Callithrix jacchus: one gene and its partners. The protein of the gene in region 3 interacts with the protein of the main gene of each other region in a biochemical or structural test. Links are inferred from orthologs where the notes say so. Each region holds a gene or a part of one and is shown on either strand. Other genes may lie near its edges.

Region 1 (6,039 bases), on a different chromosome or scaffold from region 3:
AGTGATTAAAAATAAAGTGAAGATGTTAGTACTGACCAGATATGACAGTGACTTCCAGACAGGTCAGGCCCTACTTATCATGGTCCATTTCTCATGGGTGCATGCATATGCTCTTGGAAAGCATTAACAAAAAGGATCTCTTTTAGACCCAGCAGTAGCTGGGGAAGAGACTCTCTGTGTTTTATGGTAGAATTAGGTGTTGGGCGTGTGTTTGCCCTGATATGAGCCTCCAGCCCTCTTCTGTTTAATCAAAGGAAATTCATTAACCAGGCTTTTCCACCAGTTCTAGTTCCTGAAGGCTGACAGCCAGTTAGACAAAATGGACAGAGACACTGGTAGAAGGGAAAGCTTGTGCCCTGCAGCCTTCTCACCCTTCTCTAATGTGACATGCACATATTAATTGATTCATATAAGGCATTAATTGAAAGTTTCTGCCTCCTGGAGGCATTGTACAGAAAATTGAGGTAAGCAGTGGGTATTTACAAAAGAAAAACATGGAATTGCTTTATCTTTTCCAGCTACCTTCAGCCACCAAAAATTTAAGGCAAACATTAAGATCCTCTTCACCTCAAGGGGAATGCTGGGTGGTATGTGCTGCTGGGTTGCTGGTTTTATGTATTGTCAGGAGCTTGCTGTGCTGCATTCTCTGGGTTGAGCCTCTCAGGCATGGAACTCTCCTGGGAATATCAGGCCTGGGGATTGGGGACCTGCGCAGGTTGGCAGGACTGGATTGTTGCCTGTGGGTTTATTACTCCTTCTTAAGGAGTGTCGTCTCTAAAGAGACTGAGGCCATTGGAGGGTGGGGGTGGACAGAAAATCCCTGCTAGTACAAAAGTGCTGCATTGGGGGCTGGGTGCGGTGGCTCATGCCTGTAATCCCAGCAGTTTGGTAGACTGAGGTGGGAGGATTGCTTGAGTCCAGGAGTTCTGGATCAGCCTGGGCAACATAGTGAGACCTCGTCTCTACAGAAAATTAGCCAGGCAAGGCTGAGGTGGGAGGGTCGCTTAAGCCCGGGAGGTGGAGGTTACAGTGAGCTGAGTTCAAGTCACTGCACTCTAGCCTGGGCAACAGAGCGAGACCCTGTTTCAAAAAATGAAAAGAAAGGGCTGCATTGGAATCCCATGCATGTGTGCTTTTATGCCTGCCCCAGGTCAGCAGAAACATCTTAAGGGGAATGTTAGCATTTCTTCATATGTCCAGACAGGTAGGTAGGTAGCCAGCCATTTGGATTTAAGGAACCCTGAGTCTTGAGGGTAACACACAATCCTTGAAGACCTGAGCGAGCCAAAACCTCTCAAAAGCCCATGAGTCCTCAAGTTGTCATGCAGGCCTCGGCTTGGACCTGCAGCTCCTCACTGGCTGGAGCACAGGCTGCCCCATCATGTTCACCATCATTCCTCGTCACTCCCTTGGTACCACATACGGTTTTTCCTGCAGGGCCAGATGCGCCTGTCCAAGAAGATGCTGGACCCAGAGAAGCCACAGCTAGGCATGATTGATCGCTGGTACCACCCAGACTGCTTTGTCAAGAACAGGGAGGAGCTGGGTTTCCGGCCTGAGTACAGTGCAAGTCAGCTCAAGGGCTTCAGCCTCCTTGCTACAGAGGATAAAGAAGCCCTGAAGAAGCAGCTCCCAGGAGTCAAGAGTGAAGGGTGGGTGGAGTGCCGCGGGGTTGCCTTGAGGGTTCAGTGAGGGGCTCGAGGGAGGTCTGAAGGCTCTACAGGTTCCACACCACTCCTGTGTTTTCCTTCGCTACTGTCAGTAAGCCAGGGAGATGCAAACTGAGGAACGGTGACAGCAGAGATGTTGGGGCAGAGGACAGGGTAGGGAAGGATAGCAGGGGGTTTCCATGGGCCGAGAGCCTTCTGCCCTGTGAGACCTGCTTCCTGGTGGTCTGTTCCCTGTCCAACATCTGATCTCCATGGACAGGCTGACTACACTTTCCCACGACAGCCCTTTAGATACTTAAAATACCACCCTCCTTCCCTGGGCAATTATTCATTTTGCCTGGGTTGATCTCTAGGAACGATGCTGGGAGAATTCTGACCATTTTTAGTTAGAGGGTAGGCAGTGGATAATTTTCCTGGCTTAGAGTTCAGAATGATAAGGATTTTGCATTGTGATAAAATTTAGAATGGGAAGGCCCATCAGTGACTATCTTGAATCCATGGATGCCTCTTGCTCTCCAGTTAACCCTCTGCTGGTCCCTCAGCCTCAGTTTGGAGAATTGCTTGTTAACAAGCACACCAGGGGTGGTGTGGCAGGGCCTAGTATGCACCCTGCTCCTTGGACAGCGACTGGGCAGCCATCAATCAGCAATCACGCTATCTCAGTTCATAACACCTGTTCATTGCAGCAGCACTTGTGGCTCCAGAATGTGCAGGAAAACTGAAAGATCAGGCCATGGGTCAAAAAGCCCACAGGGCATTGCAGCACGTGATACAGGTGTCAGGAGTTCATCAGCTCCCACTTAGGCCATGATAACCAGCAGAATATGTGGAGCACGTTTTGTATGGCAGGCACTGTATCAAGCCCTGTATTTGGGCTGTTTCATTTGCCCATCACCAGAGTTCTGTGAGGCAGATGGTATTCTTTACCCTATTTTATGGGCAAGGAAAATGCAGAGTTTGTGCTCAGGTCTATGTGATAGCTGAGACTGACTCCAGACCACTGTGGCTGTCCTGCCCCTGTGCCTGGGGTCAGCTGGTTAGCACTGCTTTGACTGTCACTTCTTGTCTGGGTTTTACATAGCAGTACAGCCCTACCTCTGCGAGCAGCTTCTTGGCCTTGCAAGCAGCTATGTGTTTTAGCTGGACAGGCTTAGCCTCCTTGCACTTGTGCTTTGTCTTTCTGCAGTCGGTGTCCCTTAGCCATGGGCTTATGTTCAGCCTAGTCCCTGCTAGAACCTTCCAGGCCACGAGATACGTGGGTTTGTTTTGTTTTGTTTTGTTTTTAAAACCTCAGACAGGGCCAGAGCCGTGGATTCTTATAATGGGTTGTTCTAAATCCCTGGAACAACCCTAGCCCATCTCTTTGGCTGGGAGAGTATGTTCTGAAATGGATGGTGTCTCCTGCTGTCCTGGTTGCAAATACTGCCTGAGTAGACAGTGATTGTCTGAGACCATTGAGTGGGGCAGGGGTTGGGGAGTGACAAGCGTGAGCAGGCCCTACAGGGAGTTGATAAAATGACAGGAAGATACTGCATCAGCACAAGTCATTGGGTATCATTTTTAATGACTCCGGCTCTTTCTCATATCCCATTGTCCTTCAGAAAGAGAAAAGGCGATGAGGTGGATGGAGTGGATGAAGTGGCCAAGAAGAAGTCTAAAAAAGAAAAAGACAAAGATAGTAAGCTTGAAAAGGCCCTAAAGGTGAGTTGTCAGCTCCTTTCTCCTTTCGGCATTCTGCTGTCTGGATTCTCTCCCATTCCGGGAAGACAATTCAAGCAATTATGTCCCACTTATTAAGGCCTTTAGCAAATTGATAGCTGTCATTAAATAGCATGGCTTTTTCCCCAGATTGTTTTCCCTCGTCCCAAAGAAACCATTTTTATTTGGAAGAAAATCCACATTAGGCTGTAGATGTCTGGCATGCAGCCAGGCTTGAGCAAGGCCTGAGTGCTCTGTTCCCACTCACCAGCCTCATACCAGATGACAGAGATTCATGCTTCTGCCAAATTATACACCACTATACATCCTGCACCTTCGTGGTCACTTGCAAACATCAGAAAGTAAATACTAAATTAAAGGATGCCAAAGATTCCTAGCATAGACAAATGGCTTGAAGAGATCAAGTGTCTCCACATTTTTTAAATGAATATCTCTCATTTTTAAAAAAGGAATAGATGCATGATAACGACAGGAGAAAACTGTCCATTATATCAGTGGTCCGTGACCAGAAAGTTTCATCCCTGTGTTGATTATGTATGTGTTGAAGCAAAGCAAAAATTATTAATCAGACAATGCTGGATTTGGAAATTGGGGGAGAACAGTTGGTCTCTTCTTGAGAACATGATTTCCATGAGCCATCTGCTTGTGTCTCTTGTATGAATATTCAGCTTTTACTGATGGTAAGAAAATTAGAAGCAATTTCTGATATGGCTCTAGTTGCTAAAGAAGAGTCACACATTTTGTTCAATTGTCTTACAGTAAAAAAAGTGTCTGTCATGCCCCAAAACTGGCTGCAGAGAACCGTGGTGCCACCTCACATTGGCCATTCAGTGAATTTAGTACTCTTCCCGAATAATGGCAGAGATGTTTAGAGTCAGAAAATTAAAATATCCCTCAGCATCCCCACCCTGGCACATCTGTGTCTTCTGGCTCCCCATCCTTGGTCACCTAGGTGAGATTGTACTTCTTCCATTTAACCTTGTAGCTCTATACCTTTTCCTCATGCTCCATGTCTCTATTCCTGGTGTCCCAATCTGCTGTGTGTGATGGAGAGGGGAAGTGAGAGAGCCCTTAAAAATGAAGCTAGGAAACAGGTGCAGACGTGTGTCTGCAGCTTTGCCAGTGGAGTTAAAAATCCTCTTTTAATAGCAACCCTATGGGCATGATAAGGCTGGCATTTTTGTCTCCTTTTTACAGAGGTGGGATCTGAGCTGAGGTGGTGAATAACATGCCCGTTTTCCTGGGGAAAGAGGAGACTCACTTCGTCTTTAAAATGGGGAGGCTGATACCTTCCTCAGCAAGCTTGATTGTTATGAGAATAAATTAGATGAGGCCGGAAGCCATGGCTCATGTCTGTAATCCCAGCACTTTGGGAGGCTGAGGCAGGTGGATCACTTGAGGCCAGGAGTTTGAGACCAGCCTGGCCGACATGGTGAAACTCTGTTTCTATTAAAAAAAAAAAAAAAAAAAAAAAGTTGGCCAGGCGGGGTGGTGCATACCTGTGATCCAGCTCCTCAGGAGGCTGAGGCAGGAGAATTGCTTGAACCCAGAAGGCAGAGATTGCAGTGAGCTGAGATCATACCACTGCACTCCAGCCTGGGCAACAGAGCAAGACTCCATCTCACAAAAAAGAAAAAGATAATGAGATGACACATAAAAGCATCCAACCAATAGTAGGCACTTAAAGATTAAAACTTTCATAAATGGTGTGAAGGAAAAAGAAAAAAAAAAAAAGAGAAAGGGAGAGAAAAAACAAGACTCAGTCAATAAATCCATTCAACAGATGTTTTCACACTGATGGACGGGCCTGTCTGCCTGGCTAAGGAGCAGGTGATGGCAGGAGGCCTGTCAGTTTGAACTGATTGAAAGAAACAGACCTTTAACCTCTAGAGTAACGTTGACATAGACTCATTTCCTACCTAGATACCAACGTTTTGATTATAGCCCCAGGACTGCCACACAACATTGGAGAACAATTCAACTGCTTTCAAACTGCCAGTGAGGCTTAATTCTGAAAATTCTCTCCTGATTTTATTTCAGTGAATATTGTTCGTGAATTCTATGGATGCCTCTACAAATGACCAATTACACAATTATACTTTGACACCTGTCAGTCTTCATACAGTCTTCATATATTGGTATAGAAAAAAATGAGTATTTCAAAAAATGATATGTTGAAATTATATGTTATACATACATAGTTTGTATGATATAATTTCAACACTATAAAATTATTTTTAAATATATTATTAAATATATCCTCAGTGATTTAACACTGTTATTATTCTTCATCCTTCCCAAGTTACTGAATCAGTGAACCATAGTTTGGAAGTTTATGGAAGATTCACTTAGTCTCTTTCTCTGTCTCCATAAAAAGATACTCTCAGACACATAAGCAGCTTAGTTAATCATCAATGCTACACAGAGAGCTTTGTCCAAAAAAAAAAAAGTATATGTTTCAAAATATATATTTAAAATATATATTATTTTTTAAAATTATTAATAAAAATATCAAAAAATTATATACTAAAAAAATTAAAACTTTCATTTTCAGAAGAGCTTAAATACATGATACTAAATATAATAGACCATCAAGGAAATTGGTGTTTGGGAATCAGTCCTACTCTAAGATTGGTGAAGAACAGCCATA
Region 2 (6,747 bases), on a different chromosome or scaffold from region 3:
AGATGGGGTTTTAGGGCCGGGTGCAGTGGCTCATGCCTGTAATCCTAGCACTTTGGGAGGCTGAGGCGGGTGGATCACGAGGTCAAGAGATCAAGACCATCCTGGTCAACATGGTGAAACCCCATCTCTACTAAAAATACAAAAAATTAGCTGGGCATGGTGGCACGTGCCTGTAATCCCAGCTACTCAGGAGGCTGAGGCAGAAGAATTGCCTGAACCCAGGAGGCGGAGGTTGCGGTGAGCTGAGATCGCGCCATTGCACTCCAGCCTGGGTAACAAGAGCGAAACTCCGCCTCAAAAAAAAAAAAAAAAAAAGATGGGGTTTTACCATGTTGGTCAGGCTGGTCTTGAACTCCCGACCTCAGGTGATCTGCCCACCTTGGCCTCCAAAGTGCTTGGATAACAGGCGAGAGCCACCATGCCCCACCAATCTTTTTTTTTTTTTGAGATGGAGTCTCGCTCTGTCACCTGGGCTGGAGTGAAGTGGTGCGATTTCATCTCACTGCAACCTCCGTCACTCAGGTTCAAGCGATTCTCCTGCCTCAACCTCCCAAATAGCTGGGATTACAGGTGTTTGTACCACCATACCCGGCTAATTTTTGTATTTTTTGTATAGATGAGGTTTCAGCATGTTAGCCAGGCTGGTCTTGAACTCCTGTCCTCAGGCAACCCACCCACCTCAGCCTCCCAAAGTGCTGGGATTACAGGCATGAGCCACTGCGCCCTGTCTAAATCTGCAGTTTAAATGAAGGGTGTGAACAAAGTGACCACAACTGGCTTCACTACATTCCTGGCACCATACAACAAGGTCTACAGGCCTTGAAGTGAAGCCCTAAAATAAAAGAGGCACTAAATGGAATCATTCTCCCAAATATATGCAGACTATGGTTAAAACAGATGCAGAAATGTTTTACCTCATTTCAGGGATAGAGATGTATACTAGGTACTAAGGCTGTTGTTGGATATCCTAACATTGTGGTTGATATTGGGGTAACAGTTGCATCCTTTCCTCACCATTCCCCTTGGTGCTACTTTAGAAAGAGAACCCTGTGATAGAAGCATCATAGGTCTGGGCCAAGAACAGTTCTGTTGTTCTTGGATGTGGGGAGAACGGGGCTGGGTGGAACTTGGGCAAGCCTCCATACCATCTCAGCAAAGATGCAGCCCAGGCTCCAGATGTCCACAGCTGTGGAGTAGTATTTGCAGCCCAGGAGGATTTCAGGAGCTCGGTACCACAGGGTGACCACCTGAGGGACAAGAATAGGGAGGGTGGGGTGGTTTATAGGGTACAGAGAGTCCCAAATCTCAGTTCCTCAGCATTACTCTGCTAACTCTTGGCCTCTTAACAAGCAGTTTCCTTCCCTCCATCTTTGCCCTCCCACTGATTTTCAGTCCATAGTTCTGGAGACCATGTTTTCTGAAACCCCAATTTGAGATCTTTCTGGAAAAACTTGAGACAAATGGTCATCATAATTTTATTTGATTTTTTATTTCTGTAGAGAGTGGTCTTGCTATGTTGCCCATGATGGTCTCGAACTCCTGGGCTCAAGTGATTATCCCACCTCAGCCTCCCAAAGTGTTGGTATTACAGGCGTGAGCCCAGTTAGCAACACAGTATGAATTCCATGCATACCCTAGGACTCTTTAGGATGTCAAGAGATTACTTCTACCTAGTAAGAAACTGTTGGCCAGATATTTTTAGTAACTTTGTGAATGCCCTAGTTAACACCTCTTGGGAAACTCAGAGAAGAAAGGCAAAAAGGGACTCACCTCATGGGTATAAGTACGAACAGGGACTCCAAAAGCTCTGGCTAGTCCAAAGTCTGCTAGCTTGATGGACCCTTCTGTGTTTATAAGCAGATTCTGAGGCTTAAGGTCTCGGTGTAGGACCCGATGAGAATGGCAGAAAGCTAGGCCCTGGAGCAGCTGGAATAGATAGCTCTGACAAAGGAGAAAGAGAGGACTGTGTTTCTTCACCACAATGAGCAGATTGGGTTTGCTCTGCGCCCCCATGGTTCTACTAAGGCCTTTACTGCGTTGGATTATAATTACATATTTACAAGGTATTTCTCCCATTAAACTGTCAGCCCAGAGAGGATAAGGAGCAAGTCTTACTCAACTTTGCATTCCTTTTCTATATGCTGCGCATTGAATAAATGTTTGTTAATAGATTCAAAGTAGCTCTGGGAGTGAAGAATCCAGCCCTAAAATAGATAATAGACTCATTGGCTAGTTCTTCCACCAAACAGAAGGGCTTTTTGGAGGAATTTACCAGGTGCTCTCAAATCCCATTTATCTGAGTTTCATCTGACCTCCCACCTGAGTTGCTAGGTTGACTCACTAGAGTTTCAACTTTGATTCTTCAGTCCAACCCTGGAGTTAATGAGTATAATGAGCAGGGAAGAAGACACAAAAAGAAGGGGAGTGTGTGTGTGTAGTAGATGAGGGCTCAGAAGAAGGCCAAGATCATAAAATATCACCCAGAATTGCCTGCCATCAGTCCCCCAAGACACGTCCATGATAGGGGGGAGCTGATGAGAAGCATTACCTTGATGAGGGGAAGAGGAATGCCAGTGAGAGCAGAGGCATCCATGAATTTCTTGAGATCTTGGTGCAGAAATTCAAAAACCAGGTAGAGTTTATTTTCTGTGTGAATGACATCCAGCAGCCTAGAGAAGGAAAGGTCAAGGAAATGGAGGTGCGAGAGAGAGAAATGGCCACACTGTACAGACAGAACTCATCCTTCTTTCCAACTGGATCTACTCTCAGACACATACTTACTTGACAATATTAGGATGGTTAAGCTCCTTAAGCAGAGAGATCTCTCGGATGGCAGTACTGGGCACACCCTCAGTCTCACTTGGAGAGGTTGGGAAAACAGAGATGGGAATATGGTTACAAACACTCCTTTTTCCCCCTCCCAGTCATTTCTTTCCCCCAAGGAGGCACCACCCAGCACCCCCTAGGAAAGTGAGAGAAGAGAAAGGGTGCTGGAAGGAGCTAATTCCTGGGTAGTCAGGGTGTGGCTTTTGGACATATTAAGGTCATTATCTCCTCTTTTCCCAGGGGTAGGTAAGTAAAGCTGCCTGGTGAAGGTAAAGCAGGGAGACTGTAACGGGTGAGAAAATAAAAAATAAATTTAAAAATGCAGGAGTAGCACCCAACCTCCCCAGAGGGGCCAGTGAGGTTCAACTGCCATTCTTTGGAAAGAGGAGAGAATTCTTAGGTGAGGGTGGGGCAGTGAGGAGGGCTCTTCATTCAGAAAGGCGCTACTCGTCTGTTCCCACATAACTCAACTCCATGGAGAGTCTTGGACTTCATCTCAGAGGCCTCCTTTCTCTCCCCGAGTCTCTGTGGTCGCACAATTTGGGGACGCCATCGGGCTCAGTTTGAGAAGAAAGTTTTCCATAGATTCTACACCACCCTGTACTCTCCACCTTCTACAGGCCCCCAACCCACCCCTCTACTTCTAAAGAAGTCCCTCCCTGCTCTCTTCCGGTCGCTGGACCGCTACCCGCCCGTGGGGGGTTGGGGGGCACAGTTAAGGAGGTCCCCTTAGGAGTCCCGGGTACAGAGGCCACTCACGTGTCCAGGCGGATTTTCTTAAGCGCCACAACTTCTCCCGTCAACTTGTTTCTGGCTTTGTACACAACTCCGTACGTGCCCTCTCCGATCTTTTCCACCTTTTGGAAGTTCTCCATGAAGCGCCAGCGAGTTGGGTCTGCCCGGCCCTGGAGCGGGGGCCTGGGAACCCTGCAGAAGGCGGTCCCTAGCTCTCGGAGGCCGAGGAGGGGGAAACAGGGCCCAGTACCGTGGCCCGGCGTCGGGATGGAACGCTGTATACCTCTCGCTCTTGTCAATTTGGCCAACTTGAAACAATGTTGCCGCCTCCCCCAGAGTTCCCGACCGCCACCAGAGGCCCCGCCCCACCTTCCCGCGTTTCCCTGGCTCCGCCCCCAGACCTTCTTATTGGTCAACGTCAGAGCGGGGGGGGCAGCCCAGAGCTCCTCCCCGCAAATGACCCCGCCCCAGGCAAGTTTGGTTCTTGGGGGCTAGACAAGTTTCTTTCCCGGTGGGGCGGCTGAACACTCTTTCCAAGTACCTGCTTAGGGTCCGAGTTTCTATGTTTCTAGTCTGTAGGGATTTCTTGATTTCTAACTCACTATTTCCACCACTCCCGGGGAAAATATGTATCGACTTAAGGTTAAATTCCACCTGGCCCAGGAGCCTCCTTTGAAAAGCAGGAAGTCAGGGATCTCGTTGTAAAGGATTCCTTGGCCTCGGAAGAGTCGTTGCCTCCGCCTCATAGCCTACCCCAACGCTGTCTCTGTTTTGGGGTGCAGGGTTCTTTTTGTTTCCTTTTTATTGAGACGGAGTTTCCCTCTTGTTGCCCAGGCTGTAGTGCAATGGCGCGATCTCGGCTCACCGCAACCTCCGCCTCCCGAGTTCTAGCAATTCTCCTGCCTCAGCCTCCCGAGTGGCTAGGGTTACAGGCATGTGCCACCATGCCCGGCTAATTTTGTATTTTTAGTAGAGATGGGGTTTCTCCATGTTGGCCAGGCTGGTCTTGAACTCCTGACCTCATGATCCACCCGCGTCAGCCTCCCAAAGTGCTGGGATTACTTACAGGTGCGAACCACCGCGCCCGCCCTTGTTTCTGTCTATTTGAGAAATTCCTGGTTTAATTCACTCTCCCATGATGAACTGTTGTGTCTGGTATGTGTTATGCAGCTGCCTTTCAGTCAGCTCTTGCCCGAGAGTGTATCAAGATGAGAATGACCCTGTGAAACCAGAAACTGTCATTGAGTAGCAGGATGGGAAAGCAATGTCTAGGGCCCAGGTTCCCTTTGTCAGTTTGTTTTTTCTTTTTCCTCTCCTCCGGCCCCTCCCAGGCATTCTCTGAAGGAGAAGAGGAAGGGCTATGCAAATGAGCACCCTTTTCTTATATAGGGGCCTATCCCAGCCCCTCAGTGTCTTTGGTTGCTGGAGGGAAGAACACAATGCGTCTGGTGATGAAAAGGTGCTTTCTCCATTTGGCTGTGATAGGTGCTTTACTGGCTGTGGGGGCTACAAAAGGTATGTGCGGATATGTGGACATGAGCAAGTGTGAACTTGGGGATGAATTCCCCTGCTCTGGTTTCTCTCCTCCTAATGGGAGATACTGGCAATATTTCAGGCTTCTCCCTCCTATTTGGTTTGTGAGGTTGTGGGCACCTGGGCTCCCTCCCTACATGGAGATTTGGGATTGAGCCTGAAAATAATTTCATATGCTTGGAGGGGCGAAGGATAGAAGGTCTGTGGCACTGATTCTGAGGCTTCCTTGGCAGTGAGCTGGAGCAGGGGCTCCAAAGGGATGAAATGTCTCTTGGGGTGGGGGATTTAAAGTGGGGAGTCAGAAAATGTGGTATTGGGTAAGAAGACTAAGGAGATACATCTCTTGGGATGGGTACGGGTGAACACAGCCCAGAAATTTTGTTCTGGGACTGAGAGAGAGATAGGCAAAGGGGTCTCAGCTGAGCATCACATGAAAAGGCTCTGGGGGATTGGGCCTCGTGACAGGAGCGGGGGAGGGGGGGTGGAGGGGGGTGGTTGGTGAGAGGGTCTGGAATGTCTCGTGCTGCTCTGAGGAGGGAGAGTTGGAAGTGGAGAAAGAATAGGGTATCTTATGACTTCTCCTGCTTTAGTGGTAGGATGCTCAATGAGATGATCCAGATTCTCCCCCAGCAGAGTCAACTAGGGTTACAGCACACATTAGAAAGGGATGAGTCCTGGTGCAGTGGCTCACACCTGTAATCCCAGCATTTTGGGAGGCTGAGGCGGGTGGATCACTTGAGGTCAGGAGTTCAAGACCAGACTGGCCAATATGGTGAAACCCCATCTCTACTAAAAATACAAAAATTAGCTAGCATGGTGGTGCATGCCTGTCATCCCAGCTACTCGGGAGGCTGAGGCACAAGAATCACTTGAACCTTGAACCTGGAAGGTGGAGGTTGCAGGGAGCCAAGATCGTGCCACTGCATTCCAGCTGGGGCAACAGAGCAAGACTCTGTGTGGGTAACACCCCCCGTGGTTACCGAGGAAGAACTGTGCAGACCCCAGGCACAATTAGTGCCTGAAGTATAACTTACTGCTTGCTATATTTAGCTTATATATACAATTATACTTAGTTCCATATAATCTTTCCATATAATTATGTAGGTATTGTAGTTGGAGCTGTACTAACACATTTAGTGCTGATTTATATAATTTTTCTATATAACCATATAGTAGTTTGTAGTAGGAGGAATGCCTAGAGCAGTTACAAAGCAGAAGCAGTACATGGGAAAACAGCCAGACCAGGACAAGAACCAAAGACCCAGGCGGTAGCATCCCTGCCTGAAAGGGCATATGCTGTATGGCAGGCTTGGAGCAAGAGCCTCTCCTCCTATAAAGGAGTTGTAGTACCTTGCATCCAGTTCCTGTGAAAAGTAAGCCTTAGGCCTAAGATCCTGGAAATGACTAAGGGAAAAGAACCCCTCTGGTGTGACCAGTCATGGCAGCTGTACACCCTGTCAGTCTTTTTTCACTTCTGTGCTAGCTCAAATCATCCTTCCATAAATATCTTAAGAGAAGAGCACAAGTCTGTCAGCTCCCACTGTATTGGCTTACAGTATCCTTCTATTATAAATTATTTGAAGCCTCTAGCCCCCAGATAAGAAGTGTTGAGCACGACACCTGTTGCACACAGCCCACCTCCTTGCCTTGGTG
Region 3 (6,625 bases):
ATAAATACTTGCAGTGTGTTCAGTGCTGGGCTCCTGGAGTGGTTCTTCATGAAGGCTGCAGTCAGGAGGGGAACTGTGAGGAACCCTGCAGGAAGCGGTGGGTGGCCAGGGGCGACTCTGTTCCCGGGAGTCCCCCATAGCTGGGCACGGGGTGCATGCTGGGCAGGTTCACCCCACGCTGCCCAAAGGTCCTTCCTCCGCGCTACTTTGGCCTACCCTGGGGCCTCACCCTCCCCTTTCCTGGGGCTGGATGTGATTGGATCCGTTTTGTCCCTGGAACTCAGGATCAGGAGGAGGACTCAAGGTAGGAGGGATCGCTTCCAGGAGCTGGTGGCTTTGAAACAGGAAGCCCCTTGCAGGCTGGCATAGCAGAAAGGAGAGGAAGGAGTGAGGGCAGGAGGGTCACCCCTCCCCCACCCATCCTAGGACCCGTTCTGGGGGGAAACGGGGAAGCCAGGAATCAGCCCCCTCAAACAAGAAAAACTGGAATTAGCACTGAACTCAGAGAGGGTTTGCTGGGACTTAGCAAGCTGTGGCCTGCCCCAGGCCTCTGGGCACGCGGCAGGGCTCTGCCTCCTCTGTTCCCAGGGTGGTGGGGCAGGCACCGCCTCCTCACTGGGCTCGTGGCCTCTCCTCTGCCAAGGGCGGCAGTGGGTGAGGAGGCGGCCAGACACAGGACAGAGCAGGGGGCCGGAAGAGGTGCCAGCTAACCACGAAGGCAGGTAAAGCTAAGCTTCCAGAGTATATAAAAGGGACGTGTAACTTCTCGAAAATGCTCTAGCCTGCACTGGCACATACAGTAAGCCGCTTAGTGAACACTGTCTTGGTGCAGTTAAAAAAAAAGCGCAATTTATCTTTTACCCTCCGAGAGGGTAAAACCCAAAAAGCACCATCAACCTCCTGGGCTGCTTCCTCCCGGGCCTTGTTAGTTCAGAGATGAGGGCTGCCCTCCCTTGCTTGGCTGTCACTGCTGTTAAGTGGATGCCAGGGTGCCTGACCTTAGAGGGTGCTCGTCAGAGTTGGGGGCATGCCAGCACTCAGTCCCCTGATGGGTCAGGGATGAATGCAGTGGGCAGTGTGGATGCTGGGGCAGTTCCTGAGCAGCCAGTGTGTGGGGCAGGGCTGGATTGCTGTTGCTGGTCTGCCTCAGTCTCCTTTACTGTGAGGGCTGGGGCAGGGCAGGTGTGGAGGGCTGGATGGAAGGGTCTCTCTCTTCAAGCTGCCCTGGGGGCTTCACAGGGTAGGGTGTAGCCACATGGTCCAGGGAAAGAGGGGAGGGTTAGAGGGTCCTACCACTGGAATCCTCTTCCTGCTGGCCAAGGGTCCTGTTGGAAGCTGGAGCTGCAGTGGGTATGAGTGAGGCACTGGAGCCGAAGGTGATTTGGAAGGAAGTCTGGACAAAGGGTGCCTTGAGCCTGGGGCTGCTGAGCTCAGGCAGAGGACTTTCTCTTCTCCTCCCAGGGGCAGATGAGAGGCCTCGCCAAGACCTCAGCCCTGTAAACCCCACCATGGCCCCCTCCCATGACTCCAAGAGACTGCCTTCAGGCTCTGGGCATTCTCCATTTAGAGACTTGTACTCTGCTATTTATTTGTCTTGCCTGGGGAAGTAAGTCCCTCCCCACTTAGGGTAAAGAGGGGCTGGGGATGGATGGAGAGCTCATGAAAGTCAGGATGGCAGCCAGGGAAAATGCTGTATTATTTACAAATGTGACCTGGCCCACAGACAACCTTGGAAGCAGCTTCTTTCTGGTTTTAAAAAGACACCGACATTGACTTTGATATGTTTATATTATAGATATAATACATAAAACATCTAGGGTGAGACTCTATGTTCTCCGCAAAAGAAGAGAACAAAGCCGTCCTTCCCCGCTCCCAGCCTCAGTGATGTGTTGGCGGGAGGCCACCTCCCTTCTCCACTAGGAGCCAGGGCCTCTGGGGGACAAGCCTTGCGGGCAGCCCAGGCTGGAGGGGCCAGGGAAAAGCTGAGGGCAAAGGAGAACACCCCTCACCTCATTGGTCCCTCAGGAGCCAAAGTAATCCCAAAACTAAAAGGAAAGAGTCTCAGACCCTTCCCCCAGCTGCCGACGGAGAGTCTCATTTTGGCAAGTATCCGAGCAAAACCAAAACAAAACAAAAACCAAATAAAATGGTGGTTTAGCAGAGACGCGCACATTCACATTGCACAAGGCACTGCTGGGGCACAGAGGCCAGATACAAGTGTTGATATCGGCTGATAAAGCAAAATATTTGGAAAGCTTGTCATAACTCCGGTCCCTCTGGGATGGACTGATCGTGCTTTGTGTTCCTATGGCAATGCTGAAGGCATACAGTACAAACAAGGCTGAGGGTCCCAGTGGCCCTTCACCCCCTACAACCGTCTCACGCAGGGGCCAGATCTCTAGGTCCCCTCTCTCCCATCAGGGGTATACATCCTCAGAGCTGACCCACGATCTAGCTGTCTGGCCTGACTGGGGGTGGTGGCTCCCACTGGTCACCTGGTGACCCCCATATCTCAGTGAGTTCCGCCCCAGGGGGAAGCCCAGCCTGTGGCAGGCTGGGGTGGGGTGTGTGCGGAGGGATGGGAGAGGTGCGGAACAAGAGACCCTCCACCTTCATGTAGAATCAGCGGAACAACCTTAGGTTCAAAGCCCCAAGTCCCTATGTTTCCACCCCTCTATAAGAAAGGCGCCGAGGAGCGGCTGGGGCTGGCTGGCTTGTAGGGATCTCAGCTCCCTGAGCCCTCCTCCTCCCGCCACGGGCCGCTCCCTTCCTTCTCTCATAGGGGCCTGCTGTAGCCTTGGGAAGGAGGCAGGAAACCTCCAAATAAAATGACAAGGCACGATTTGCTCCCCCTACTCGGTAGGCATCGGAGCAGAGAGTTTACATTTCCAAGGCACAAGGTTATCCTTAATACTAGAGTACCGGGCTCCCAGCTCAGCCCCAAGAATTCTCTCCTCCTCGGAGGGAGAAGCCACCGCCTGGCCCCCTCATCTTAGACGCACCAAGTCCGGCGCAGAGGAAGGGAGGGGACACGCGGAGCAGGCCAGGCTTTCAGGCGGCACCGGAATCACCTAGTCCTGGCTCGCACGTCCCGAGCAAGCCTCGAGATCCGGCGACCCAAAACCACTCCCGGGGTCCCCGCCAGAGGCTGGCCCAGGGCGGTCCCGCAGCCGCGCGCCTCACGCGCAGTTGCCCATGGCCTTGACTAAGGAGCTCTCTGGCAGCTGGCGGAAGATGCCCCGCAGCGTGTCCAGTTCGCGGCTCAGCTGTTCCACCCGCTTGCGCAGGCGGTCATTGTCACTGGTCAGCTCCAGCACTTTCTGCTGCGTCTCCACGTTGCGCTGCTTGGCCTTGTCGCGGCTCTTGCGCACCGCGATGTTGTTGCGCTCGCGCCGCACACGGTACTCGTTGCTGTTCTTGTCCACCGACTTCTTCGCCTTGCCTGCGCCGCCGCCGCCACCCGCTCGGAGGTCGGCGTGCGCGGCGCCCAGCCCCTTAAGCGCGCCGCCTGGGCCCGGCAGGCCGGCGGCGCCGAGCGCTGGCGCGGGGTGCGGACTGGGCACAGGCGTGGGCGGCGGCGTGGGGTGACCGGGCTGCAGGTGCATGGTGGTCTGGCCGCAGTGCGCGATCTGGAACTGCAGGTGCGGGGCGGCCAGATGCGTGGGCGGCGGGTGCGGGTGCGGGTGCGAGGGCGGCGGCGGCGGCGGCGGCTGGTAGGGGAAGAGGCCGGCCAGCGCCAGCTGCTTGGCTTCGTCCTCCTCGCGGGGCTCCTGCTTGATCACAAGCGGCCGCAGCGCCGGCGCCCCGACGCGCTCGTACAGGGGCTCCAGCCGGCCGTCCAGGTAGCCGGCGGCCGCGCACCCGTAGCCGGGTGGGGGCCCATGCGCTCCACCGGGCATGACGGCGCCGCTGGCGCCCGCGGGCGCGCCGGGGTAGTCAAAATCGCCGCCGCCGCCGCCGCCCGCGGGGCCAGCGGCCGCCTTGGCCTTCTCCTGCTGCCGGCTGTGCTGGAACAGGTCGGCCAGGAACTCGTCGTTAAAGGCGGCCGGGTCGATGTAGGCGCTGATGTCGATGGACGTCTCGTGCTCGCAGATGCCGCCCAGCGGCTCCGGGGCGGCAGGTGGGGCGGGAGGTTGCGCGAGGCCAGCGCCCCGGGGAAAGCCGAAGGCGGCGCTGCTGGGCGCGTGCGAGGGGCTCTGCAGGTGGCTGCTCATCAGGGGCCGCGGCTCCACCTCGTAGAAGTCGGCCGACTCCATGGGGGAGCTAGAGTTCTCCGGGCATGGCGAGCCTCGGCGGCCTCCAGCCAGCGCGGGGCGCCGCCGCCGCCGTGCACCCGGAGCCCCTGCTCGCCCGCGCCCGCGCAGCTCCGGGTCGCGAATGGCCCAGCCCGCGCAGGCCCCGCTTTTATACCCTGCAGTCCGAGTCGCCCCCTAGAGTCCGAGGCGGCCTCTGTCCCCTGGCGGCGGCGGCGGCGGCGCGGGGTCCGCTGGGTCCTAGCGCGCAGACGGAGGGTGGGGGCGAACCAGCGGGGCCCAGCGCGGCGCACCACAGGCAGGCTGAGGCGCAACGCCCACCGCCTCCGGCTCACCCAGCCGGGCCGCGGCGCTCGCTCCAAGCTCCGCCCCGGGCCCGGCTGTCGCCTCCGCGCCCACGTGGTAGGTGGCTGGGGCCCCCTCCTCCGGCCTTCCCTAGGCGCTCATATCCAGCCGTGGCCGGGAGCCCTGGAGCATCCCGAGGTTGCACGGGGTAGGGGTGGAGCGGGGCGGAGGGCAAGTCTTGGTCTCGAGCTACTGTGGTGCGGACTCGCTTTCAAAGCTTGAACCAGGCCAGGCCTGTCTGGGACCCGTGTCCCTGGGAGGCTGCGGCGCTGAGCGACCGGGCCGGCGGGGGCCAGTGGGGGGTCGTTTGGGACGCGCGGAGAGGCCCGGAGCGCGGTGACTCTGCGTCTCCTAGCTCTGATCTGCAGGCGACCCCTGTGATTCCGCGCAGAGGCACCTCTCCGAGGACGCCGGGATCCCATGAGCGGGCGCCGCAGGGCGCTAGGACCCCGCGGGGAGCAGAGGCGGCCCGGGAGTCTGGAGGATCTGGCCGGTCGATCCGCCCCGGCTGGAAAACTTTCTTCGTAATTATTTCTCCAGCCCGGAGCGCTCGGCTGCCTAGGCGCGCGGGGCCGGCGCTACTACTCGGCTTGGTGTTGCTGATTTTTTTCTTGCCGGATGGGCGGGCTCCCGGGACAAGCTGAGCTGGACGCCGGGGCGAGCACGGGGAGGGGCGCACCGAGGGAGGAGACTAACTTAACTCCCGGCCGGGATCCCTCGAGACGGGGACCGTAGCCCGCGAGGCCCGAAGCCACGGCTTCCTCCCCCAACTCCCTGTTCAGGTGGACGCCTACGGCTGGAGCGAGGGTGTCCAGGTCGCCAGGTCCGAGCACCCACAGGGAGAACTCTGCCCTGTGGTTCGCTGGACGCTGGGGTCCCCGGGATCTTGGGTGCCGTGGCCGCCGGGCCCTGGAGCCCCTTAGGTGCGGCACGCTGACCCTCTCACCGCGGCGGGGGAAGGAGCTTGCTACAGAGACCCCCAGCCATGTGCGTCCCTCGCTTTCTTTACCGCAGCCGGGGATTGCGGACTGTCAGCTGTCAGTCCCCGTTGCGGACTGTCAGCTGTCAGTCCCCAAAGACCCCGTTGGGGCCCTCAAGTGTCTCCTGCCCCTGCCCGCGCCGCCCGTCGGGACTGGCGCTGAGGCCAGACGCCGCCTGGGTCCCGGCTAGAGGCTCGCTTGCCTTCAGGTGAGGGAAGACCCCTTCGCCGACTGTGGCCTTCTTAGGCCTGGCAAGGCGCCACTACCCGCCCAGGAGCCTCCGAGGGGGTGCAGTTAAAAACACTGCTGGAGAGGCTCCGAGCTTCCATAGCGATTGCAGTAAAGAAGCAGTTTCATCTGGGCAATGCACACTGTGCTTTAATCAAGTTCCTATTCAACATATTCCCAGTGATTAATAGCCCAACTGCTTCGTTTTCGGTCCAGAGCTCATAAACAAGATATTTTTAGCTTGACGCTTTTGGACGGGAGGGAGTAAAAACTAGATAAGTTAAATAAATAACCCGATCTGAGCCGAAGAGCTGCTTGCTGAGCCAAATACAGGACCGGTTCATACACCATCCACCTGTGGAGGGAGACCTGGACAAAATCAAAAAAACACCCAGAGCGACTTGCATTTTTTATTCTGCGGTGCTAAAACTAATGGCTTTTCCTAGGTAGTAACAAAGAATCTCCACTGTACATGCACGATTCCTGGCCCGTGCAGTGCAGGGAGGAAGGCCATGTCTGGCCTCTTTTGCACAGCTTGCTGTTGCCTGCCCAGAGATCAAGAACTCTGCCGCTTAGGGCCGGAAGAAACCTCAGTATGGGGATAAGATTGTCCAATAAGGGGCTGATGAATGTGTGGGGGTGAAAATGGCAAGCAGTGGGGCTCCCCCCCTGGGAGTCTCCAACCCCAAGGGCCCTAGGTCCTCCTACAATTGAACCAGAATTCACCCACCCCGGCCTGCCCTGTGCAGGGTGCTGAGAGCCCAGGGATGCGTGAGAAGGTGGTCCCTGCCTCTGGGAACTGGGACAGTGGGAGAGACT
Region 4 (5,467 bases), on a different chromosome or scaffold from region 3:
CACAAGGCCTGAGCTGTTCTAACTTCAGTGTCATACGTCTGCTTTCCTGGGTGATCTCAGCCTGAGTCCTAAAAAAGGGCAATTGTGTCATCGCTACCTTCTGTCACCTCTTTGTGTGAGTCCAGAGTTGATGAGTTCACCCTCATTCTAACCTATACAGGTTAGAGTTAAAATTCCATCCTATGGTGGTTACGCTTAGAGCAGGTACTAGGCAGAAACTGAAAGGGGCAGGCAGAGGTTCCTGAGGCCCTACCAGTGTTTTGCTTTGTGGATCTGTTGGTTATGCCTGTGTGTTGTTTGTGAACATTTGTGCATTTTTCTGTTGTTACACTTTACAGTGTGAAGTATTTTTAAAAGTCAATCTGGATGCAAATTTCCTTCTTAATTTAGAATAGATTCTGAAGTGAAGCTATAAATAGTTAAGCTATAAACTCAATCAATAACCCTCTTCCTTTCTCTACTTTTGTGATTCAAATTAATGACAGCTCAGTATTTTCCTTGCTTCCATTTCCATTTTTCTTTTACACTTAAAGAAAAAAGTAAAAGAAAGAAAATGCCTTGCTTAGCCATTTTAATTAAGTCTAATGAAAGGGGATTGGTTCACAATCCGAAGTCCCAGGATACCTTCGGAGATCTGTGTGAAGCGCTGCAATGACAAAAAAAAAATTTTTTTTTGAGACTCTCACTGTCGCCCAGGCTGGAGTGCAGTGGCACGATCTCAGCTCCCTGTAACCTCCACCTCCTAGGTTCAATCGATTCTCCTACCGTAGCCTCCCAAGTAGCTGGGATTACAGGCGCCCACCCCCATGCCCAGCTGACTTTTGTATTTTAGTAGACAGGTTTTCACCATGTTGGCCAGGCTGGTCTCGAACTCCTGACCTCATGATCTGCCCACCCTGGCCTCCCAAAGGGCTGGGATTACCGGCATGTGCCACGGCAGCCAATCCAAAATTTTGTTTTATGCACGTGACACTGTTCTCAGCTTTCTCAAATTCCCAGGGGTCCATGGCCCAAAACAGACAAGTTGATTTTTAGAACTCAAGGTTAATTTATGCATGCTCATCTTCAAATATTTCTTGATTCTGATTCTGCTTAGAGCATAAAAAATAGGCTGGGCGCGGTGGCTCACACCTATAATCCCAACACTTTGGGAGGCCAAGGCAGGTGGATTACAAGGTCAGGAGATCAAGACCAGCCGGCTAATACAATGAAACCCTGTCTTATAAAAATAAAGAGAGCATAAAAAAAATAAAAAATGAGTCGGGCGCGGTGGCTCACGCCTGTAATCCCAGCACTTTGGGAGGCCAAGGCGGGTGGATCACGAGGTCAAGAGATCGAGACCATCCTGGTCAACATGGGTGAAACCCCGTCTCTACTAAAAATACAAAAAATTAGCTGGGCATGGTGGTGTGTGCCTATAATCCCAGCTACTCAGGAGGCTGAGGCAGGAGAATTGCCTGAACCCAGGAGGCAGTGAGCCGAGATGGCGCCATTGCACTCCAGCCTGGGTAACAAGAGCGAAACTCCGTCTCAATAAATAAATAAATAAATAAATAAAAATAAAAAATGTTTTTTGAGTCTAAATCTAATCCAAAGCACCCACCAACTTGGTGTCACCAAATGGACTCCATCCCATCAAAATAAATCTGCCCACTGGAAAGACAAAAGCAAATGGGTTCAAGTCCGACAAAGGTCACTGTTGATCACCATCAACATGTCTCCTCTTCCACCTTCCCCTTGCTGCCCATCCCCAACCAGATGGTAAGCCCTGAGGCCGGAGACCTTTGCAACCTCTGGGTGAAGCTGCATAAAGCAAAGCAGATTGAACTCGAAAGCAATTCACCACACCTATTTACGAAACCAGATTTATTAAAATTTCTCTACAAGTCAGAAACGGCCATCTCACTGTTCACATATATACACATATGTACAGGAAGAACCTAGTGTTTCTAGCTTTCCCGGCAGAAGCCCCTGCCAACCCAGCGTCCTTAGCCGGATAATGTATCACAGATACAACAGTCGAGCAACCACGAGAGCATTATAGACAGAGGCCTCTGTCCCCACTTCTCCAAGTCCCATGATTCTGTCAAGGTAATATTGCCAATAATCATTCACATTTCACGTGGTTTTAGACACGCAGGTGATTCAGACAGACACAGACAACAAAACAAGCCTCAAAGCCAGAACAAAACACAACAAATCGGACACAGGTATAAAAGGTAAAATGTATTACAAAGTACACAGTACGTGAGGTATACACGGCATTCTCACAATGCATGTTAGTAGTTTGCCTAGGCGTAGCCCTTAAGGATGACTGCCTATGTTTGTGCCATTTCTCAAAATACAGTATGTTTTTGTTTACCCGTTTAACCACCTGATTTCAGCACTGTCCAAGACAGTTACTGATATTTCATCTGAACTTGCTTTTTAATGGAAGTTATAGTTTCTCCATTAAAGCTCTGTCTTTTGGAGGGAGTGAGTTCCCATCTCTGGACGTATCTAACAGAGGCTGGATTCCCACCTACGAAAGAAGCTGAAGGGGGGATTTCTGCCTTGGGAGGTGGCAGAAAGAGGAAAGAGATTGGACCGGATGATTGCTGAAGACCCTTCCAACTTTAAAGATTTGGGGTTTGCTGTTTCGCTCCAGAAGCCGATTATACAGATATATTCATAAACCACACATCTGAAATATCAACAACCCATCATGCAAAACTGCAGTTGCACACACAACGCCAGAGGCGGACCATGTCTGGGAGGGCTTAAGTGTACTTCTGGAAGTTAGTCTGAGAATCAGAAGACTATCCGAAATTCACTCTCTTCAAAGCGCAGAGATGTTTAATGTCTGCTTTTGGGAGAGGTGGGTAGGAGCCTCCTTATCTTCCTCCTCCTAGACAGAACGCTCCACCCTGAGATGGTCTTGGGGAAAAAGTAAAGGGTGGGTAAAAAGGGTAGGTACTAACATATTTAGAAGGAACTTAAAAAGCAAATAGTTTCCAAGCACTCATATTATTTCTTAAAATCTGGAGTCTCTCTGTCTGACCTCAGAGTTCTGAAATCGTGGGGAGGTGGAATCTTTTGCGATGCTGTCCACGTTTGGCTGGTAAGTGCTTTCATAGCTAGAGGGGGAAAGTGTCAAGGTCAGGGAGAAGGCATTAGTGCAGATGTGGTCTTGGCAGGAAACAGAGGAGAGTCTGGGTTCATGGTTCCATCAGCTCCTGAGCAACTTAAAACGGTCTGCTCCAAAAACGGAGCAGAGTCATTGAATGTGAGTGTGAAGAATGGGTGAGTGTTAAATCAAAAAAGGAACCTTCCCGTCAGAGAAGCTGCGGTAGCACGTCTAGCTACCAGAGATGAGTTCAAAGATGGCAGACTGAACGGCCCAATGTGTCACCCTGTTAAAATACGGTTATTGCCCAAAATATGTCATCATACGATCTGCTTTTTCTCCCATTCAAATGCTCGAGTTTATGACACACTTGACCACCGGGTGTAGGATGTCCATACTCCTGCCATCCGTAAAAGGTGCGGAACTCCCAAATCCAGCAGAGAGTTGGCGAGAGTTCCTTAAGAGAAATAACTTTGCAGGGCAGCCAATCACAGCGTATGCCGCTCACATCAGTAAAGTCACTCCTCCCAACAGATAAGAGGTGGCGCCATGCCGAGTTCAGCAGCCTTCATCCTAACGCAGTCATTATCTGGTTGATACCATGCCAAAGGGCCTGTCCATCTTTAGAAATGGAAATACCAGGTGTAAGAATTATGAGGTTTCTGAGGTTTTGGGGATTAGCAGAAGAAGGAACTCATGTCACTGTCCTCCTGGTACTCTGGAACAATCTGGTCTGAAGTTCCTATTTCTGAGTCGATGTACCCAGGTTCCAAGATGGACTCAAACCAGGGGTGCAGTAAGATCTCGGGGGCAGTGAGTCTCTCAGAGGGCTCCCGTCTCAAGAGGCTGCGAATGAGGCACCTGGCTTTGGGGGAAATGTGTTCAGGAATGCAGAACTGTCCACGCCGGATTTTGGAGAAAAGGGCACTGGGGTCCGAGTCATGGAAGGGGTATCGTCCAACCAGAAGGGTATACAGCATCACCCCTAAGCTCCAAACATCCGCAGCCTTTCCAGAGTAGGTCCCGGTGGTGTTGAGGATCTCAGGGCTCACGTAGGCTGGGCAGCCGTGTTTGTCTGACAAAGCATCATCCTCCCCCTTGATGATGTGTGTGTCTTCCAGACTTTCTAGTCTGAGCTGGGTTCTGCAAGAGAGAGGAACCGAGCCATTATTGCCATACCAGCTGCTATGAAAAACAAAGCCTTCCCAATAACAGCGCCCACAGGCACTAACAGCAAAGGCTCAAGGAATGCTATTTACCCCTTCATCCAGTAAGCAGCGCCTGCAACTGCTGGGGACTCGTGATTTCACAAACCAACACAAACTGCAATACATGTTTGCAAAGTATCGACAGAGCGCCTGGGGTGGAGGGTATGATGCAAAGCCCCAAATAGTATTCATAATGCTAGAGCTTACAAGAGATATCCTAATAGGAGTTACACAATCTACTAAGTTCGCATTGCAGAACTGGGAGCTTGTCTCAGGGGAGTGCTGCGTTCTCTACAAAAGCTATCAGGGAAGAGCAGCAGATCTTGCTTCTTCAGGGAGGGCCTGAGCATCCTACGAGCCCATCTTTTCTCTTATGCCGCTAACTGCCGGGGCTCCCTGGACCCACACTGCATTACAGAACACGGAGCCTAAAGTCACTGCTATTACATACACAGGTTTTCAGCGCGGGTGCCCACACTGATACACGCACGCAGAATGAACTTTGTCCACCTAGGCCCAGGCTGTGACAATTATGATGGGAAAGTTGTAAGGAATGTTAATTACATTTATTGGGGTGTTTAACTGCAAAGAACACTTTGCCTGGACAAAGAGGTTATGCCCACAAACAAAAGTATGAGGGATTTCAGGGAGGCAGGGCCCCGGAAATTCTTCTATAGGGACACACACTCCCCTCGACGGCACATTAACATGTGGGCATATTTATTCTACAGGGGCGTCTGTCTTCAGGTAACTACGAAAGTCCCAGAAACCTCAGTCAAAGGCTCTCTTATGAAGCTGCAGGTGCCTCCTGATTCAGAACCAACCACCCATGTCTCCTGGATTCCCCAAAGCCCAAAGCCAGGTGGGAAAGCTCTAATATCTGGTGACACCCTGCCTCTGCCTGCTTCTCTGAAATCGCCCTGTTTCAGTAAGTCACTAGTGAAGTTAAATGCAAACATTTGGTACTGGCTGATGGGTCAATTCCTTTTCCTCTCAAAGGTCTGGTATTTTTTTTTTCTTCCTGCCTTCCTGTTCCCTGGAGTGTAGTATACATGTGCTAACTTCAGTATGTCCTCAGCGTGACCTCCCTGTCGTTATGTAAAATACCCATTGGTTCTGTAAACGGAAAATATGACTCAACCCACACTGTCTC
Region 5 (4,212 bases), about 20 Mb from region 3:
CTCATTCAACCCTCAGAAGAAGCCTGTGAAGTTTCAGGCATCCTCGTCCTACCTGTTTCACAAGTGGGGGGCCCTAGTACTAAGCACCTCGCTTGAGGTTAAGCTAGGATTTAGAGAACCGGGTGTGAATTCAGGAGGTCAGATTACAGAATAAGCACTCCTTATCGCTATCATAGGGGAGAGGAGGACAACTGAGGTTTGGGAAAACAATGACTTGGAAAATTCAAAAACAAACAACTAACGTGAACCCCTTATAATCCATCCCCAGTCCTGTACCAGGCTTTTTCTTTTCTTTTCTTTTTAAGACAGTCTTACTCTGGCGCCCAGGCTGGAATGCAGGAACCCAAGAATGGCTCACTGCAGCCTCTGGCTCACTACCTCTCTGGCTCAAGCAATCCTCCCACCCCTGCCTCCTAAGTAGCTGGAACCACCAGTGCCTGTCACCACACTCAGCTAATTTCTGTATTTTTTGGAGAGATGAGGTCTCTCTATGTTGCCCAGGTTAGTCTCAAACTCCTGGTCTCAAGCAATTCTCCCACGTCAGCCTCCCAAAGTGCTGGGACTGCCCAAAGCCACTGCACCCGATCCTGTACCAGGCCTTGAACAAAAATGCTCACACGATCTTCCACAGGACCCTCTCCTTCAATCCACAGATATTCACTAAAGACCTGCTATGCATCAGGCCCAGGGTACTCTGGGGCTAGCAAGGTAGACACAGTCCCAGCTCTCACCGTGCTGGTGGTGACAGCTACAGGAGAAAGGACCAAGGTGATGTGTGAGCGTAACTGAGGGGAACAATGGCTAGCCCAAGGTGGCCAGGGAAAGTCAAAACACAGTCCTGGTCGGGTGAGGTGGCTCACATATTAATCCCAGCACTTTGGGAGGCAGAGATGGGTGGATCACCTGAGGTCAGGGGTGTGAGATCAGCCTGGCCAAAACGGGGGAACCCCATCTCTACTAAAAATACAAAATTTAAAAAATTAGCCAGTCATGGTGATGGGCGCCTGTAGTCCCAGCTACTTGGGAGGCTGAGGCAGGAGAATCACTTGAACGCGGAAGGCAGAGGCTGCAGTAAGCCAAGATTGGGACAGTGCACTCCAGCCTGGGGAACAGGCGAGATTCCATCTCAAAAAAAAAATCCTATTATCCTCCCTGATTTTGAGGCCCCCTCTTCCAGGCAGCCCCCATGATCTCCAGCTACCACTCATTCCCTGCATGTCTGCTGCATCCCTCTCACAGTGCAAGTTATAAGCATTAAATGACAGGCCAGGAGGGTTTCTTCCCGCATTTACCACCTGCTACCCTCCAAGACTGCAGAGACTCCAGGAGCCAACCCCCGACCATCCAACACTCGGTAGGGCCTCAACAAGTATTTGCTGAACAATAAGGGACACTGGACCAAACAGTAACAATATCGCTTCCCACTTGCCAGGAACCATTTCACAGGCGTTCACCAATTCCATTTGTGAGGTTACCCCCTTTCACAAAGGAGGAAAACTAAGAGGTTCAGCGAGGTTAAGCCACTTCCCTAAAGTGACAGTGTGCTAAGTGACTGACAGCACCAGGAATCAAACTTGAATGCACCCTATCAATCCAAACTGAAAACTTGTTTCAAATTCTTGCGAAGTGTCTTTTCCACTTACTCACTTTGCACTTTCCCCAAGGAGTCACTGACCAAAAGAAAAAAAATCAAGACTGGTGTCTTCAAGACAGGGACAAAACACTCGCCTAAAAAGTCCACGTTGGAAGGAAAAAAAAAAAAAAGAAAAAGAAAAAAGCCTTCACCTTAAAAACCAATTGGGAAGCAGTAAAAAGGATGCAAAACCTAAGCACTGCTTTTATACAGCAAACGATTTCCTCCGCGGTCCCCTACTTGCAGCCGACCCCATCCCCAAACTTCCCCAACCCCAATTCGGGCAAACATTCTGAAGTCACTAATTCCAAGGGATTGGAGGAGTCCTTTACCTTTCCTTGAAAATCTGGAATGACGCGTTTTTAAGACAATTTGAGGTCGGCTAGCCCAAGGGGGTCGCCAATGCCCGTGTCCGGTCGACGCCGGACGTTATCTGGAGGTTTGGCTACTGAGCCCCAATCGCAGCTTCGCCAAAAAGGCAACATTAGGGTCTGACCCGTTACCACGCAGCCAGAAAAGCCCCAACGCCTGCCTATTGTTGCAAGCGCTGAAATTGGGAGGGCGACTGTGGGGGTGCCGGACGAGAAGGGCGAGCTTTGTCCCGCGACCCCGGCGAGAGCGCGCGCGGAGGGGATCGCGCGGCCTCCACGCGGCCCGGGTCCCCCACCCGCCCGCCGCTCCGCGGGGACCGTCCCTGCCGCGGCCTCGCGATGCTGTGGCCTTCCCCACGCGCGCGGCTGCCGGCCGGGCTTCTTGATCCTCGGGCGCCGCCGTACCCTGGCCCCGCACCGGGCGCGCCGGTCGCCCCCTCCCCCCTCAGCGCCCGGCTCCATTCAAACCGCCCTCCCCAGCCCCGCGCCGCGCTGCCCCCGCGGCCCGCGTTCCTTACCGGGAGCGGCAGGCGCCGTCGCCTTCCCGGCGCCGCCCCCGCCCCTCCGCGCGGGGCCGGGGGCAGAGTGAGCGTCTCGCGTCCCCTCACGAAACAAAGAAGCCGCCGCCACCGCCGCCAAGCGAGGGGAAGCCTCACGCGCGCACCCGCCTCGGCCACCGCCCCCCCTTCAGACACACGCGCGCGCCGCCCGCGCCCCCGCTGCGCGCGCTCTCGCTGGCTCCCCTTCCCCCAGCTCCGCGGACGGCCTCTCCAGCTTCCGCCGCCCGCCCGGCCTCGTGCGCGCGCCAGTCCGCCCTTCCGCTCCCTGCGCGCGTGCGCTCCCGCCCCTAGGCTGACAGAGGTGGGCGCGTCCAGGAGGAAGCACGAGCGCCCGACGCACCGCCCCACTGGGGCCGCTATAGCCCCGCGCCTGCGCACGGGTAGCTTTGCCCTCTGCACGCCGCGCGTCCTATCGCCCCAGAGCATGCGCACAGCGGGCGTCACTGCGGTGGCGGCGAGGGCTCTGGCGGGCTAATTGGGGGAAGGGAGTCCGGTGGCAGTGGGGTCCGTGGGGAAGGGAGGTCCCTGAGACTCGAAAATAGGAACTTGAACCGTAGGATGGGCGAGCTGGGCCTAGACCGGGCAGTGGTTTCCCGCGGGCCAAGGGGGAACCGCTTTGATCCCTGGCCGGGGCGGCGGGGCCTGTTTGGCGAGGCCGGGTGGGGCCCGACCGTGGTCGCCTTCTCTGCAAAACCTCCCTAGTGCCATTAATTAGCTTAGCAAATGTTGATTGATCTGCTGCTGTGTCCAAGCCGTCGTGGAGCCCACGGTCTAGTTGGGGAGGAGGACAAGAAGCAAGATTAATGAGCGAAATAGGGCAGTGTGAGAGGTCAAACTTGGTGGCTCATGCCTGTAATCCCAGCACTTTAGGAGGCTGTCGGGGGCAGATCACCTGAGGTCAGGAGTTCGAGACCACCCTGGCCAATATAACAAAACACTGTCTCTACTAAAAATACAAAAATTAGCGGGGCGTGGTGGCACACGACTGAAATTCCAGCTACTCAGGAGGCTGAGGCAGGAGAATCGCTTGAACCCGGGACGTAGAGGTGGTAGTGAGCCGAGATCGCGCCATTGCACTCCAGCCTTGGCAATAAGAATGAAACTCCGTCTCAAAAAAAAAAAAAAAATAGTGTAAGGTGGAGACTGGGAGGATCGTGGACATTTTAAATAGGGCAGCCAGAGAAGCAGTCATTGCAGAGAACACGTTTGAGTGCAGACATGCCGGCAGTGAGGAAAAGAAACCCTGTGAGACTGAAGGCCCTGAGCCTCTTGGTCTCCGCTCTGTGTTTTTATTTTGTTTTGTTTGTTTTTGAGACGAAGTCTTGCTCTGTCAGGCAGGCTGCAGTGCAGTGGTGATCTCGGCTCACTGCAACCTACACTTCACAGATTCAAGCAATTCTCCTGCCTCAGCCTCCCAAGTAGCTGGGATTACAGGCGCCTGCCACAACACCCGACTAATTTTTTGCATTTTTTAGTAGAAATGGGGTTTCACCATGTTGGACAGGCTGGACTTGAACACCTGACCTCAGGTGATCCGCCCCTTGGTTTCCCAAAGTGCTGCGATTATAGGTGTGAGCCACCAAACCCGGCGTTTTGTCTGTTTTTAATATACTTGGTCTCTTTTAAGCATGCTCTGAATAAAGAGACC

Evidence for each region.
Region 1: the proteins of CEBPA (region 3) and PARP1 form a complex in vitro, tested with the Homo sapiens proteins (2 studies listed by BioGRID, with this or other methods). The link is inferred for Callithrix jacchus from reciprocal best matches to the Homo sapiens genes CEBPA and PARP1.
Region 2: the proteins of CEBPA (region 3) and CDK2 form a complex in vitro, tested with the Homo sapiens proteins (2 studies listed by BioGRID, with this or other methods). The link is inferred for Callithrix jacchus from reciprocal best matches to the Homo sapiens genes CEBPA and CDK2.
Region 4: the proteins of CEBPA (region 3) and TRIB1 form a complex in vitro, tested with the Homo sapiens proteins (2 studies listed by BioGRID and IntAct, with this or other methods). The link is inferred for Callithrix jacchus from reciprocal best matches to the Homo sapiens genes CEBPA and TRIB1.
Region 5: the proteins of CEBPA (region 3) and SMARCA4 form a complex in vitro, tested with the Homo sapiens proteins (2 studies listed by BioGRID, with this or other methods). The link is inferred for Callithrix jacchus from reciprocal best matches to the Homo sapiens genes CEBPA and SMARCA4.

What each region holds. Positions count from the first base shown.
Region 1 is NC_133520.1:22,857,047-22,863,085, forward strand, and holds part of PARP1 (poly [ADP-ribose] polymerase 1), read left to right. Parts: intron 1-1,437; coding exon 1,438-1,652; intron 1,653-3,271; coding exon 3,272-3,371; intron 3,372-6,039. UniProt on the Homo sapiens protein: Poly-ADP-ribosyltransferase that mediates poly-ADP-ribosylation of proteins and plays a key role in DNA repair.
Region 2 is NC_133510.1:63,707,431-63,714,177, forward strand, and holds the start of CDK2 (cyclin-dependent kinase 2), read right to left. Parts: upstream 3,937-6,747; 5' UTR 3,702-3,936; coding exon 3,586-3,701; intron 2,860-3,585; coding exon 2,782-2,859; intron 2,670-2,781; coding exon 2,549-2,669; intron 1,942-2,548; coding exon 1,771-1,941; intron 1,248-1,770; coding exon 1,146-1,247; intron 1-1,145. Other genes in the region: melanocyte protein PMEL, read left to right, coding at 5,001-5,076. UniProt on the Homo sapiens protein: Serine/threonine-protein kinase involved in the control of the cell cycle; essential for meiosis, but dispensable for mitosis. Phosphorylates CABLES1, CTNNB1, CDK2AP2, ERCC6, NBN, USP37, p53/TP53, NPM1, CDK7, RB1, BRCA2, MYC, NPAT, EZH2.
Region 3 is NC_133523.1:30,117,990-30,124,614, forward strand, and holds CEBPA (CCAAT/enhancer-binding protein alpha), read right to left. Parts: upstream 4,380-6,625; 5' UTR 4,257-4,379; coding exon 3,180-4,256; 3' UTR 1,770-3,179; downstream 1-1,769. UniProt on the Homo sapiens protein: Transcription factor that coordinates proliferation arrest and the differentiation of myeloid progenitors, adipocytes, hepatocytes, and cells of the lung and the placenta.
Region 4 is NC_133517.1:71,929,506-71,934,972, forward strand, and holds the end of TRIB1 (tribbles homolog 1), read right to left. Parts: intron 4,250-5,467; coding exon 3,784-4,249; 3' UTR 1,852-3,783; downstream 1-1,851. UniProt on the Homo sapiens protein: Adapter protein involved in protein degradation by interacting with COP1 ubiquitin ligase. The COP1-binding motif is masked by autoinhibitory interactions with the protein kinase domain.
Region 5 is NC_133523.1:10,115,935-10,120,146, reverse strand, and holds the start of SMARCA4 (SWI/SNF-related matrix-associated actin-dependent regulator of chromatin subfamily A member 4), read right to left. Parts: upstream 2,801-4,212; 5' UTR 2,523-2,800; intron 1-2,522. UniProt on the Homo sapiens protein: ATPase involved in transcriptional activation and repression of select genes by chromatin remodeling (alteration of DNA-nucleosome topology).